Linked DNA regions of Lytechinus pictus. The protein of the gene in region 1 purifies or fractionates together with the protein of each later gene. This does not show direct contact. Links are inferred from orthologs where the notes say so. Each region holds a gene or a part of one and is shown on either strand. Other genes may lie near its edges.

Region 1 (7,951 bases):
ACATGTATCTTATCAAAATCCACAAAATCTTAAGTAGATGAAAAAGTAATATTTTATTTAAATCCTATCACAAAAGAAATGTACTTTATACATGTACATACTTGTATCTGGTTGATTTTCTTAAGATGAGGGAGTGAGGAAATTGAAGATGATACCAGCCCACAAAAGTAGTAATTTGAAAACATGATCGCGAATACAATTACCATGTTTATTGACATCAATACGATGATCATATTGAAAACTAAACTTTTATAAGAAAAAGAACATGATGAATACTCTTGAAAAGAGAAAAATGAGAAACTTTGGAAAATAGGTGTAAATGATACACATGGTACATGTGCATATTATATTAAAAGGATTTTTTTAAACTATTTTATTGTGCAATGTTTTAACTTATATACCTTGTAATGGTCATGAAGGACCATTTGTGAAATGTTGAAAAGAAAAAGAAAAAAAAATCTCATGTTCACCCCTGGGTTCCAACCCTTGACCCTAAGAACGCAAGTCTGATGCCTTATCAACTGAGCTACACTATTTCCCATAGACTTTACACATAAGCACTATTTCCCATAGACTTTACACATATGCAAATTGAGAGGATCTCAAATCCAATTTTGCAAGTGAAATACGGGCATGATCTCGGCATCTGATCAGAAAATGAAGACCACAGTTGCGATAGCTTACAATCTCACCTACAACATACTTCAAGCTCAGAGAAAACCGACAAAAAGAAATGAAGATATGGCTCGCGAAATAGAAGAATGTAAAATCAAGTTTTGAGAAAAAGTCATTTTCCATAGAGATTGCACACAAAATGAGCGAAAATGACATGCCTCTATAACTTGCCATTTTTCAGGATGATCCATTCCTTTAAAAGAAAATATAGCCATCAAATTAAAAAGAGTATGTCCTCAGCTACAACATATTGAAAACTGAGCGAAAATTGGCCAATATTTGAGGAGTTAGTGTCAAATTTGCATAACTATGATGACGTCATAGGTAGCAAAGTGGGAATTTTGAGTTTCGACGCCACTTTGATGACGTCATGATAAAATTAAGGGTCAAATGTGACATGAAATCATATCTCCCATTTATACACTATTGGAATATGAAAAAAAAAATTGGGGGTCAACGGACTATCTAAAGAGCTATAATGAATTTTGTATAGGCATGTTTTTGCACATATATTGTCTATGGTTAGTGCGCGCACGCGTGCGTGCTGTAAACTTTGATGGAGGCTTATTCCGTTATTACTTGTCGTAAAAGGTTGATCAAGGTATCAAATTATTCAGAATTATATTATCAATGCATTGATATAAAGAAAATGGCGACCCTATGCTCTATAGTGCCGTTACGCGCGAGAACGCGCGTGTAACCGTGCGCGCGCACAAATTTTTGAAATGCTTAAAATGACCTGATTCGTACTCTACTTTGGTCAAAATGTGATTTTGAGCATTTTAAAATTTTGACGCGCGCATTCGCACGCATCGTGACCTTTACATGACCTTTAATGACATGGACAGTTGACCCTTGACCTGAAGTTAATGTGATGTAAATATTGTTAATTTTTTAAAATTGATAATGAAGATATGATTGATAACGTGATTTTACAAAATGGCGTCTAGATGACGTCATGATGACCTTTTGACCTTGAACTTGTTTTATACACATCACATGATACGTCCCCATATCTGATGATATTCTGAAGATAATTGATCATGTAGATTTGGAGATTTTGTGCTAACAAGAAAAGGGCGGCAAATAAAGAAAAATAATAAATAAATAAAAAAGAAAATTCGATTGACAGATCACCTAATAATAAATAAATAAAAAAGAAAATTCGTACGAAATTAAGAGTTGATCTGTCGATTGACAGATCACCTAATTACCCCTTCATACTAATTAGCGGCTTATGAGTCATTAAAGGATTTCTGTGGACTGCAAGATTGTGACTTTAAAAAACAGAAACGAGCCACCTGTTGTTTCATGTTGTTGGTATACATGTACATGCAAGCCTACTTCATTAAAACCCCCGTCACACTAGAGGCGGAATGAGCCGGAATGCCGTCGGAATGAAAATTCTTGGTACATTCCTGGATATTCGAAGCGCATTCTAAAAATTCTGACTGCATTCTGAGTGCATTCCAGACATTCGGGTCCATTCTTGTGACCGGCCCGAATGTTTTGCTCATGTTCAAAACTGTCGAAGTGCATTCGAAGTGGAGAAATATTGAATGACATTCGAAGTGCCGTGCTCTCTGACTGCATTCTACATATTCTTACGACATTCTAACAGCATTCTTAATATTCTTCCTGTGTTCCGACTGTATTCGAGCTGCATTTGACAGTCAATACACCCGGAATGTGCAAGAATCATTCAAGGCGGGATCAAAGGACGTTCTAAGTATTTGAACGACATTTTTGCAAAAGTAGTGAAAATTTCAAATTCCCTCCCGAATGTGGCACGAATTTTGAAAGTTCTTCATTCCAGCTGGTTCTGCTCGATTCCTGCTGATTCCGAATAAGTGTGACGGGGGTAGAAAACATTATCATCTGTTGAACTAAGAAACATGGACAATCAATAATGCACTGTATCAAGAGTATACAAGTCAAACAGGTACAGTGTATTTGTACAGTATGCACATACTTCCAGTGTATCTCAATGTGATCTGCTCTAGCAGTAGCCCAATACACTCACCATCACCAATTTTGGTGCCTTGATTTCTCGAAGCATCTTCGGAGTACGCCCACCAGACAAGCGTCCGATCCTACTATAACCTTTCTGAATGTCCACCATATGTCCAGCAAAGTGACAACAATAAGCTCCAAAATAAGATAATACAGCTAAATAGAGTTCAGGAAGCTTGTCTTAATAGTGTTCCTCTAAATTAATTCTGGCTTATGTGTGATTTATTAGGATTGGAGAATGAGGGTGGAGGATGGCTGATGTAGAGAGAGCACTGTATGCATAATATCAAGTGTGACTCACACCCATAATTTGCTGGTTTCATCTCCTTTTCCCCCAACTGTTCCTCATCTACTCACCTCTCTCTCTCTCATCAAGGGGGTACTCTAATAAACACACATACATGCATGTACACACATAGACACATACTGTATATCATTACATGTTTTTAGCTTACCGTTATCTCTCCCATTCTCAATCTCCTTGCCCTTAAAATCACAGTTTCTTTTCCTCATCTGCACTCGCCACCTCTTGACCACTTCTTTCTCTCTCTCTTCTACCTCTTTCTCCCTCTCTTTCTATCTCCCAATTTCTCAGAGAATATGCTTGGTAAAAGGCAACCATAGCATTAAATTTATTCATTAATCTTCCTTGCTCATTCAAGATTATCTACAGAAATAGAGCAAAGATTATTGATATGACCATACTTTGCTCAAAAGAATGGAAGGATGGGTAAATGAAGGTTACAGAAATTGAAGGAAAGAGGAACAAGTGGAATGCCTCTGGCCGTCTCACCTGCATCACGCAATTCAATATAGCAGCAGTGCTGATTTTGAAAAATACTATGACTCGCACAAGATGTTCAGTGATACTTGGTTACTCTTATTTCCACGTTTTATGAACTAGACCAATACACTTAAAGAGATATGATGGCAATTCAACAAATACATGTACCAGCAACGTGGCCAAAGTTCTTTGACCTTACATGACCTTTGACCTTGATCATGTGACCTGAAACTCGCACAGGATGTTCAGTGATACCTGATTACTCTTATGTCCAAGTTTTATGAACTAGACCAACACACTTTCAAATTTATGGCTGTAATTCAACAAATACCCCAATTTGGCCAAAGTTCATTGACCCTAAATGACCTTTGACCTTGATCATGTGACCTGAAACTTGCACAGGATGTTCAGTAATACTTGATTACTATTATGTCCAAGTTTCATGAATCAGATCCATAAACTTTCAAAGTTATGATGGTAATTCAACAGATACCCCCAATTTGGCCAAAGTTCATTGACCCTAAATGACCTTTGACCTTGGTCATGTGACGTGAAACTCATGCAGGATGTTCAGTGATACTTGATTAACCTTATGTATAAGTTTCATGAACTAGGTCCATATATTTTCTAAGTTATGATGACATTTCAAAAACTTAACCTTAGGTTAAGATTTTGATGTTGATTCCCCCAACATGGTCTAAGTTCATTGACCCTAAATGACCTTTGACCTTGGTCATGTGACATGAAACTCAGGCAGGATGTTCAGTAATACTTGATTAACCTTATGGCCAAGTTTCATGAACTAGGTCCATATACTTTCTAAGTTATGCTGTCATTTCAAAAACTTAACCTCAGGTTAAGATTTGGTGTTGACGCCGCCACCGCCGCCGCCGTCGCCGCCGCCGTCGGAAAAGCGGCGCCTATAGTCTCACTCTGCTATGCAGGTGAGACAAAAACCAAAAAGACAAACTTCATAGATGGTGCACAAAGGATATGAGTTAAAGTGAAATATTGCAAAATATCAATTACTATTACTATTGTTGTTATAATAATAGGCATTTATATAGCGCCATCTATCTATAAATATTCTATTCCGAGGCGCGTTGTTATTATTATTACCCCGGCTTTGGCTCGAGCTGCATTTCAGCGCTCATGCATTCAAGGAATTAATCTTGTCGGGTACCCATTCACCTCACCTGGGTTGAGTGCAGCACAATGTGGAAGAATTTCTTGCTGAAGGAAATTGTAATTACTGATGTCCTTTATTATTATACATTTATAATTATTATCACAATATCATTACTATTTTCATATTATCATTCATTATCATATGCATCATCATTCTTATCATCATCACTATCATCATTTTCTTTTTCATCATCATCATTACTAATTTACTATTATTATACATTTTTATCCTATTTGCGAAATAAAGATTGAATCTTGAATCATGAGGTCATGTCTTGGGGCCCTACAGACCGATTCCCACCATATTTGGGTTGTGGGTGTTTTTCATCATGCTCTACCAAAATTGCATAGGTTACAAAGCACATGTTAACATCGTCGCGTTCAACACCAATAACAAGCAAGCAATGACCCGCCGTGTAGCTAGTTGTAGGTCGGGATAACTTGCGCTCCATAGTTATTTGTAAAGTGGAAATTGATAATAACCGTATCAGACCGCCTCGATCACATTACAAGAATTCGTGTTATTATTTCCGCATTCATACATTCCGTCCCGAAGAGACTTCCGAGAAATTCTCGAAGTTACGAGCATGCGCATTATGGTCTGGAAAGCGGGCAAGGAGCGAATTCAAACTCGCCAGTCTGCAACTCATGGCGCCCAGGCGACCACGCCGGGGGCAGGTCCGGGGGTACTTAGATTTGGTTTGGACGGGGGTGTGCGGCTGATGCGGGATCAATACCCATACCCATTACGGGTCATTTTTGCTAAAAGGTATCAATTATTAGGGCTTAAAACTTGACCAAAAAAAGGTTATCACCCCAAATTTGAGAATATGGACCCATGTTTAAGGCCAATATCTAAAAATTGGGGGCATGAACCCATGTATCTAAAAACAAGTATCTTAAAATTGGGGCCATGCATGTTTAGGGATTTTCCAGCATAAAACCATACCCCGTGTTTCTTCCAAAAGAGCGACCCATTTCAGCGGCACATCCCCGTATACCTTATTTCGTAAGTACCCCCCCCCCCCCCGGCTCTAAATGTATTCAAAATTTTCTGAACTCAGATATTAGACTTGCACGTAATTAATTCCTAGTAATTTTTCTATTACATGGCTCGACTGTATTGATCTTTTATTTTCACTTAGCCGATACCATAATAAGACTCGTGAAACGAAAATGAGTAGTTTATCCTGTATCTAAAAGTCAGATCCGACTTGGAGAGAAGCGATTATCACATAAAGGGTCGTAATCATGCAGTCATGCATTACAGTTTTATAGCTACCGGTATCAGAAATATGTATTTGTACCCGACTTTGTTACATTTCTCTTAATGCTGGCTTCCAATCGTAAATTTTGTGAGTGGAATTGTTTTGCGCATGTCCGGCTGCCTCCGACCGCACAGGCGCTGACCCCCGTTGACTACCGGTAGATCCACGGCCAACCGTCGTCTCGACTCTACTGCCTGGGTACTGGAGAAGTACCAGGCCAGGCCCAGGGTCGAGTCACTTGTACAAGAACAAGTTCTACATTTGCCTGACTTTTGAAAGAGCCTCTATTTTGAGGCTCGGGTTGTGGAGTAGGGATTTTCGTTTATTTGGTTCTCTGGTTATTTTATTATTTTGTTTCTTTTACGGGCGTTGTAACTATTCCCTTCTTCTACCACAGTGCGTCCCCCCCAAAAAAAAAACTATACACTTTTGAAATGGCTGCCAAATAAAAAATATATCACTTTGGGGGGGAAAGACATGTTATGGAAGCCATTAAAATCAACTTTCTCATGACACCAAAAAGTTGAAATACTATCACGTTTGAGCGAACACTGCCTACTGAAACAAAGGGTATATGAAAATTAGGCTGGGCTGGAATTAGCGGCCTTCCATTTTTTCTCAGTTTTTGAGGGGCAAATAATTTGGCTTTGGAACTTGCAATGTTAAGGGCGTTGTGATGAATTATTGATCAATCGTGACCAGTAATGAATGTTTAAGCAAGTTTCATAAATTATTCAATGGAACAAAAATTTTGGGCAGCATTTCAACATTATCATGTGGCTCTCAGCAAAGTGTTCATTGGAGTCAAGAAAATAGGGGGTGAGATTGGACGTAAGTGGGAGAAGTAAGTTGATGGAATAAGGGTCAACAGAACATTTTAGCCCCCCTCTCTCTCTCTCGCCCTCCCCTTCTGTTGAGTGACTGACTTTTATTGTCATGTACGCGTGAAGTCCAGAGCAGAATGTTTATTTAATTATGATAATTGGGGCATCAACTTTTCCTATCAATCAACAATTAATCAATAAATCAACTATTTCAATGGGCAACGTAATCAATCAAACATTCAGTTTTCAATAAAGTATTTCATAAATTATCATAATCAAGTCAATTTCTTGGTAATCATTCAATAAAAAGAAAAAAAATGACTATCAGCCACCGGTCACTTCAGTGGGAAATAAGTTTTGAATAGGCTACCATCCAGGAAGTGAGAGGGGTCTAGGAAATTGAGGGGGGTGGAGATACATAAGAATTTTTATTTGTAAAATGACAAAAAGAAGATGAATGCCCTTTCAACCAAGTCTTACCTTATCTCGCCCTCTCGCTTGTAACAGGTAACCCCGGGGGGGGGGGGGGAGCACTTACTAAATTTACAATTCCTGTTCACTCAACCATCATTCTTACAAGTTTCAAAAATCATATTTGTTGGGAAAATCCAGCATAAGTGTTACCTTCCTCTTAAAAATCCCAAACCTAGGATTTTTTAAGTCACCATGCAATCAAATTTTCCCTCATTGTGATGTCAACCATACGATAAATAGACATAAGGAGAAAAATTCGTCCATAATTGACATCGTATACCATTATGTTACCTGGTTATTGATCATTCGTTCTCTGTATATGAGGTTCATGGGTCGAATCTCGAACCAACTGAAGAGAGTTGCAGCTCCGTAATTAGTTTGAAGTAGAAGTTCGCCTTGGTGAGAAACACTCGATGATACTGTTCAGTCTAGGACCTACCTTTAATTTTCAAATGAAATTAAATCTCGACAAACATGCCCCTTCCCCCACTGTCATGCCGTCACAATCACCATAATCATAATCACTGTAATCATAAAAACTAGGATTATTATCATAATTAATCTCAGCACCTTCATCACTGTCATTATCACCGTCATCATCATAAAACAAATCATCACCGCGGGCGGCATAGCAGAGGATATATCCTTATGTTCATAGGGTGCATCATTATTGTCCGCCACAGCAAAATATTATCCTCTGGTCATCACTATTATTGCTACCATAA
Region 2 (7,780 bases), on another chromosome or scaffold:
AAATTAGAATATTTCATATTTCACATAATAAAGTACAAAAGAAATAGTGAGTGGATGACGTCATAAGTTTCCTCATTTACATACATGTATGGTTGGAACTACCCCTTATCGACCACCTAATATTCAAAGCATCATATCTCCGAAAATATTTATCAGTCTTACCTAGTTTTCGTCTCATTTGTGCAGAAAATTATCAAAAATTATAATAATTATTTATAGTCACGTATTAGATTTTAGTATTTGTTATTTTTTGTATAAATTGTTCTTCAAAACGGCATTCTGTAACATCGCTAATCGAATGTACGTCATAACGAAGCGGTTCAAGGGTCAGACCTATTGTATTTGCTTTGTTGACAAACGGATCGAGGGATCTACACGAGATCAGTCTGGTAAGAAACCTTAAAATTTTCACCTCTTTATTCCAATTTTTGGAACCTTAATACGCATTATGCGTTTGAAGGTTCAAATATCAATAAAATTCCCACTTGTAAACCGATTTCACCCTCTAACTATGGATTTCCTAGGGAAATCCATCCGGGTGTCTAGGTCTCGCTTCTGCGTCTATGTCAAAATATTAAAAAAAACATCATCATGGAGTCCTCAAGGCTAGGTCGATGCACATTGCAGACATTGCACTGGAGTTGCCCCTTACTACTACTAGTTTTGCCTAGCCTTGAGGACTCCATGATGATGTTTTTTTAATATTTTGACATATACTTCTTCATCATGGAGCCTTGAACCGCCTGCCATATATGCATAAGCGAGACCTCCACATCCGGATGGCTTTCCCTAGGAAATCCATATTTACAGGGTGAAATCGGTTTACAAGTGGGAATTTTATTGATATTTGAACCTTCATACGCATTAATAATTATTTTTAATAAAATAATTATTTATAATCACGTATTAAATTTTAGTATTTGTTAAATAATAATTTGTATCTATAAATTGTTCTTCAAAACAGCATTTTGTAACATCGCTAATCGAATGTACGTCATAATGAAGTGGTTCAAGGGTCAGACCTATTGTATTTGCTTTGGTGACAAACGGATCGAGGGATCTACACGAGATCAGTCTGGTAAGAAACCTTAAAATTTTCACCTCTTTATTCCAATTTTTGGAACCTTAATACGCATTATGCATTTGAAGGTTCAAATATCAATAAAATTCCCACTTGTAAACCGATTTCACCCTCTAACTATGGATTTCCTAGGGAAATCCATCCGGGTGTCTAGGTCTCGCTTCTGCGTCTATGTCAAAATATTTTAAAAAACATCATCATGGAGTCCTCAAGGCTAGGTCGATGCACATTGCAGACATTGCACTGGAGTTGCCCCTTACTACTACTAGTTTTGCCTAGCCTTGAGGACTCCATGATGATGTTTTTTTAATATTTTGACATATACTTCTTCATCATGGAGCCTTGAACCGCCTGCCATATATGCATAAGCGAGACCTCCACATCCGGATGGCTTTCCCTAGGAAATCCATATTTACAGGGTGAAATCGGTTTACAAGTGGGAATTTTATTGATATTTGAACCTTCATACGCATTAATAATTATTTTTAATAAAATAATTATTTATAATCACGTATTAAATTTTAGTATTTGTTAAATAATAATTTGTATCTATAAATTGTTCTTCAAAACAGCATTTTGTAACATCGCTAATCGAATGTACGTCATAATGAAGTGGTTCAAGGGTCAGACCTATTGTATTTGCTTTGTTGACAAACGGATGAGGGATCTACACGAGATCGGTCTGGTAAGAAACCTTAAAATTGTCACCTTTTTATTAACCAATTTTTTTAACCTTCATACGGATTAGGCGTTTGAAGGTTCAAATATCAATAAAATTCCCACTTGTAAACCGATTTCACCCTGTAAATATGGATTTCCTAGGGAAATCCATCTGGGTGTGGAGGTCTCGCTTATGCATATATGGCATGCGGTTCAAGGCTCCATGATGAAGAAAAAAATGTCAAAATATTAATAAAAAAACATAATGGAGTCCTCAAGGCTAAGTTTTGCCTAGACCAAAAGCTTCGGTCTCTGTTATGTTGGTTGTTCCACTGAACTCCGTTGGCTCCACTCACCAAATACAGAGACCGAAGTTCTAGCTCGATCTGTACAGGGGACTCAATGGCCATATGTTTATGTATAAAGTTCGGATAAAACAGGGAAGTGAAGTTGCGCGACAGCCGAAGTAAGTCACTGTTTTTTTCCCCCTTTTAGGTTTATTTTTCCCCGTTCTGGTGCAATTCAGGCCAAAACGGAATAATAATCTTTATTTTTGTACAGTTCTTTTTATATATTTTTATGAAATAGAGACAAAAATCGATGAGCCCCGTCGGGGGGATTTTGCATTGTTAACCCCTAATGGTGGCTGCACGATAGCGAGACGTCTGTGTACGAGGAGAAATTAAAAAAAATAAAAATGTTAAAAAACTCCTCCTCGAAACAGACGGCTGCCAGCTATTCTAAGACTTGAAGTTTTGCCATATGATATGCCATTGTCGCATATGATCGCATTATTATCGTGATTATTACTGATTACATCTCTTTCCTCTCTGTAATCATTAAGTGCTGATGGACATTCTTTACGCAGCACCTTGCTGTTGATCTCCAGTATACTATAAGCGGAGGAAGAAGAAGATTGTGACTGATTTAATTGTAGGCCTAGCAGACACACAGAAGTTCCACACTACAGACAGTGGTCCACACAGCTCTGCATCTGTCACACTCACAACTCAGAGTCTAGTCAGACACAATCATTCACATTCACAGTCACGTCACTAAGCTACTCAAGAAAAAAAAGAGGAATAAAAAGCATAAAAATAGTTTTATCAAAATATACGATACCGATATAATATCCTCTTCTTCATCATCCATTGCAGCTGCTAGCGGGTGAATATCTTTGCCATCTTTCGTTCCATTTTCGTGATTCTCTTCACCAATAACATTGGTGGGTGTTTCTGTGATTTCTGCCATGTTGGAGATATATTGTAGCCAATTTGCAGATATAGACATTTACGTTAAGAATGTATTCATTATTTGTATACAAAAATAGTTCAAAACAATAAAATTAAAGAAAATACTGCATATATTAAATTTAAGTAAAATATTTGATTTTTTATCTCAATTTAAATAACAATTAATCAAATATTCCGATCATATTTGCCAAGCTTGCGCACGTAAACAAAGTGTAGTCTGCTAGAAATACCAGCCGTAAGAACGCGTGTGTATTCTGCTTTCTGGGCGTGTGATGTCTTCGTCGGCAGTTTGATCATGGGTCCTACTAGAACTAGTAGGATCCATGGATTAATGCCAATTTTTTTTTAGATTACACGTCACTTTAATTGCCCGTTTTCTTAGCCTACGATTATTCAGTTTGCCCCCCCCCCCCACATATCGAAAACTTGTATGCAGTGTACCGGACATGTAAAAACATAGCAGACGACGTTTGCAGACCTCGCGATCATCGTATGACTAGTGGTGCGGAATGTTCCATTGCGGCTTTATGGGTGAAATAGCATTACAGAGGGATAAAATGTATACACAGATAATGTTTCAGCGTTGATTCGCAATATTTTGAGTCAATTTTCATGAATTATCGTTGTTTGAACATTTAAACATCATTATAAAATGAAAGAAATAAGCAAAACTTAATTTTCAGACTTAGCTATGCAGTGGTAAGCTAGGATGCACCCCTCGTATACATAATGGACCCGTCACGAGTGTAGGTTTGCTCTTCGGACATCACTATCACAAAGAAAATCTCCTCTGATTTGATGATAAAAGTGCCCTATTTCCTTATTAACCAATCTCCATGGTTCTTTCATGAGTATTTGCCTTACAATGTGCCCTTTATTGTAATCTGGGCGGAAATTCATGATACCACCACCCACCGATGTGACGAGGGATATAATCCACCCGGGTACTATAAAAATGTCCCCCAAACCCATTATCCCAATACATATTCTGACTATGGATGGTTTTTAGTGATTTTAATGTAATAAAGTGCCATATTTCCCACCAATTGAATGTAAAGAAAATTATGGTCATCTGATAGAAGAAGTTGTTACCATTCATTTCAGGGGGGCGGAAATTCTATCTGAATCAACGCTTGTCCTTGATACACATTTGTTTGTGAAAAAAGGGTATAATGCAAGGGAATTCTGCGTGTTATAAGGGTGCGCGCGTGCAGCGAGGACCTTCTGTCCGCTAGTTTTCCATATGAAAAAAAGGGGGAATAAACCATGGCTACTGTGATTTCTCTCTTGATATATTTCTCCTTTTCCACCTCACAGCTTCCCTGCAACTTCCTCCTTTGAATCTGATTGGTCGATCTCATCATGACGTCACATCAATTGAAGAAAAACAAAACAACTGGGTCTTTTAAAGATTTATTCATTTTTTATTTTTGTATGCCCTTATTATCGTTCATTTTTATTCATTCATTCATTATTTATCCATTCATTTATTTATATACACACATATACACATATATATATATATACATATATATATACTGTATATATATATAATTTATATATATATATATATATATATATATATATATTTATTCACTCGTTTTTTTTTTAATTTATTTATTCATTCATCCATTCATTTACTTATTTTTATTGCTGTTTAACATTGGTGGTGTGGTCCCTACATCACGATTGATGTCATCAATCTTTCTCATGCAGCAGTAGCCCAAAAAAGTTCCACATTTTCTCTTTTTTTCATTCAGGAATTAAGGTCGATAACCTATAACTATAAAGAAAACATGTGGGAGAGGTTAAACGGAAGAAAATACATCCTTTAAAATTGCAATAATTACGATGAATTATACATTTATGCTGCTGTAACATCTGAATAACCCGTGAAAAAAATGACAGAAACAAAAGGTCGCAAGTGATTTTAATGCAACTACTGTCGAATCTTGGAAGATCCCCCCATGCAGCCCCCACCCTTAAATCAAATCGACTCCCTAAAAGGTTCCAACTCTTGCGATAATACTACAAGTCAGAAGGGGATACAATAAGCTCAATTACAACACATAATACACGGCTTAATCGCTTGACTGCACGAATATTCAAGCCAGACAGATGGAATTTGTGATAAGTGCAAAATCTGTGTTACAGCATCTCGAGGTCGACTTTTTCATATTTTGGTCATCCGGAAAAAAAAATTCTTAGATCAATTATTTGATTTCCTGCGTTTGTATTGTCTTGTTTTGTGTACACGTTTCGTATTGTTTATTTTGCGATCAATCATTCAACTTTTGCTTTATTCAAATCCCATTTTTACATAACTGAAATTGTAACTGAGATGCATTATCTGTATCCATATCTTTGGACTAAAGCCAGGAGTGTGCACGGAACATATTCCCATTTATAATCGACGCGCTAGTAACCCAAAATGACAATACTCTAAAACAATATATTCAATTTGAACCCCTGGAACAGACCTTAAAAGGCGGGGGACCCTAGCTTGCAAAATAGCTAATGTAGAAGTCGGCAATTTTGATCAGTCATTGATTGAAATCTACTCATTAATTGCAATGTCAGATTTCTCCCTTCAGTTACGTATCTATTGAAATTGAATTCGATTCTTTTAATTATTTAAATTCAAATATATAATACAAAATAAATCATAAAATATTTAATGAATGCCATGTTCAAGAAATTCAATAAAAATAAAGCATAATGGAATGAGGGGTCCAGTAAAAGCAATTAATGCTTACAATGTGTTAATCCCCCTTTATTGTTTTTGGAATGAAAGGTTGTTATTTTAAAATGTGCAGTTTCCCACGCGGAAACAAATAAAAATAATTTAATTCCCGATTCCTAAATTTTCAAATCCTGGATCTTCCTCTTCACAATGATTTTCCTTCCATTATAAGAATTCATTAATTGTATTATATCTTTACTTAATTTGATTTACTTGGATGTAGAGACGTGAAGCTTAATTGTAGCTTATTTGCCCTCGATCGTCACGTTGGATAGTCTATGGTGGGGTAAAAACTTTAGTGGATGGTTTTTCCATCAGTGGATAAGTCCCCGGACTTTGAACCACAAGGTCCGGGGTTCAAATCCCACCGCAGCACTCGCGTCCTTTGACAAGGCGTTTATCTACATTTGCCACTCTCAACCCAGGTGTAGAAAATGGGTACCCTGTAGGAAGAAATTCATTATAAGCTCCTTCCGATTAGGATAGCAGTGATAAAGCCGGGGTAATAGTATGCAGCACTTAGAAACATTTGAATTAAGAGCTATAAAAATGTTGCATAAAAAATGGACAAGTCCCTGCAGCAACTTCTATAATCAACGTCGATAATGTTCAGGATTTGAAATATTTGGTAGTAATAGACCAACGAATAATTCACCAGATATTTCCACGACTCCCTACATCACCTATCCCGACCATCATTTTGACGTCTCTGTATAATTTTTGTGTTATTCTTTGCATATCCTTCAGCAGTGGCATAGCGATATAACAATTTGAGGAGACCAAATATGGTGCATCAGGGGCAGCGGATCAGGAGGGGGGGGGGGGGGGGGGGGGGGCTTTAGATCCCACACCTTGTTTACAGAAACGTAAAATGACCATCTGGTTGTGATTTTTTGTTGGCATGGTCAGCCACCCCCATCCCCCTACTTCCAAAACCTTTCCACAACCTGGGCGCTGTGGCTGTGCGCCTGTAATCCAAGCCAAATGGGGAATTTACAAAATGATGCAGAGGTTCGAGCCCTAAATTCAGTACGTAACAGGCGGGGGGGGGGGCAGGTGGGCAAGCTGCCCCCCCCCCCCCTGCGGATTTCACCGGGAAAATAAAAAAAAAGGAAAAGGAGAAAAGGGAGGGAGAAAGAAAAGAAAAGGGGAAGGATAGGGGGAAAACGAAAGGGAAATTAGGGAAAAGTGAAAAGAAAACGAAGAATTTTTTTGATGGAAAAGGAAGGAAAGCGGGAAAAGGAAGGAAAGCGGGAAAAGGAACGAAAGAGAACATTTGAGAAAGAACAAATCATTCTGAAATAGGCCTATATAATGCAATAGCATGATGAGAAATAAATTAAAAGATGACAAAGTGGCAAAAATAGCGGGAAACGAAAGTAGAATGGAATTAGTAAAAAGCTAAATTGGAAAACAAAGAAAAGGGACAAAAAATAATAATAACACGACCGGGCTGCCGAGGATTGAAAATAAAGAGCGGGAATAAAGATGGACAGCATACAACATTGTGCTATAAGCTTGCTAAATTCTATGCAGATAAGCTACCGGGGTTTTGCCCCATGCAGACCCTATACGCAGTAGGGGATCTTCATCTATAACCTTCAAATGGCTCTATAACGCCCCCACCTGTAGGGACCCTTCCTATATCAAGCTTTAAGGCCACCGCACACTGTTCGCGATCCGATTTTGGAACAAATCGCAGTTTGCTCATTTTCTGAGAATGTGAAGGGAACATATCATTTTATTTGAGGTTAAAATTAATTGACAGAATACTAATATAACCATTTTGAAAGATAGCAAGCCTTTATTTTGGAGTAAAGGCCAAATTAGTTTCAAATCGTACGACTGCTATGACGACTAGATATTAAATTTGCTTTTATTCTAAGAAGGAAGATATCATAATCACTGATTTGAACATAGGTTTTCGTACGATGATTTCGAACATTACTCAGTAAGATATTCCAAGTCTCAATATTAGCATCAAATTCTACTACGTTTTATTCTGAAATCGAGTCGCAGACCAATCGTAATGTGTGCGGTCGC

Evidence for each region. The genes of interacting proteins can lie anywhere in the genome.
Region 2: the proteins of sorting nexin-4-like (region 1) and sorting nexin-30-like purify together in Homo sapiens (co-immunoprecipitation; 4 studies listed by BioGRID and IntAct, counting the BioPlex papers as one, with this or other methods). This does not show direct contact. The link is inferred for Lytechinus pictus from reciprocal best matches to the Homo sapiens genes SNX4 and SNX30.

What each region holds. Positions count from the first base shown.
Region 1 is NC_087247.1:81,360,515-81,368,465, forward strand, and holds the start of sorting nexin-4-like, read right to left. Parts: upstream 3,013-7,951; 5' UTR 2,798-3,012; coding exon 2,699-2,797; intron 1-2,698. UniProt on the Homo sapiens protein: Involved in the regulation of endocytosis and in several stages of intracellular trafficking. Plays a role in recycling endocytosed transferrin receptor and prevent its degradation.
Region 2 is NC_087255.1:20,298,274-20,306,053, reverse strand, and holds the start of sorting nexin-30-like, read right to left. Parts: upstream 3,019-7,780; 5' UTR 2,993-3,018; coding exon 2,864-2,992; intron 1-2,863. UniProt on the Homo sapiens protein: Involved in the regulation of endocytosis and in several stages of intracellular trafficking. Together with SNX4, involved in autophagosome assembly.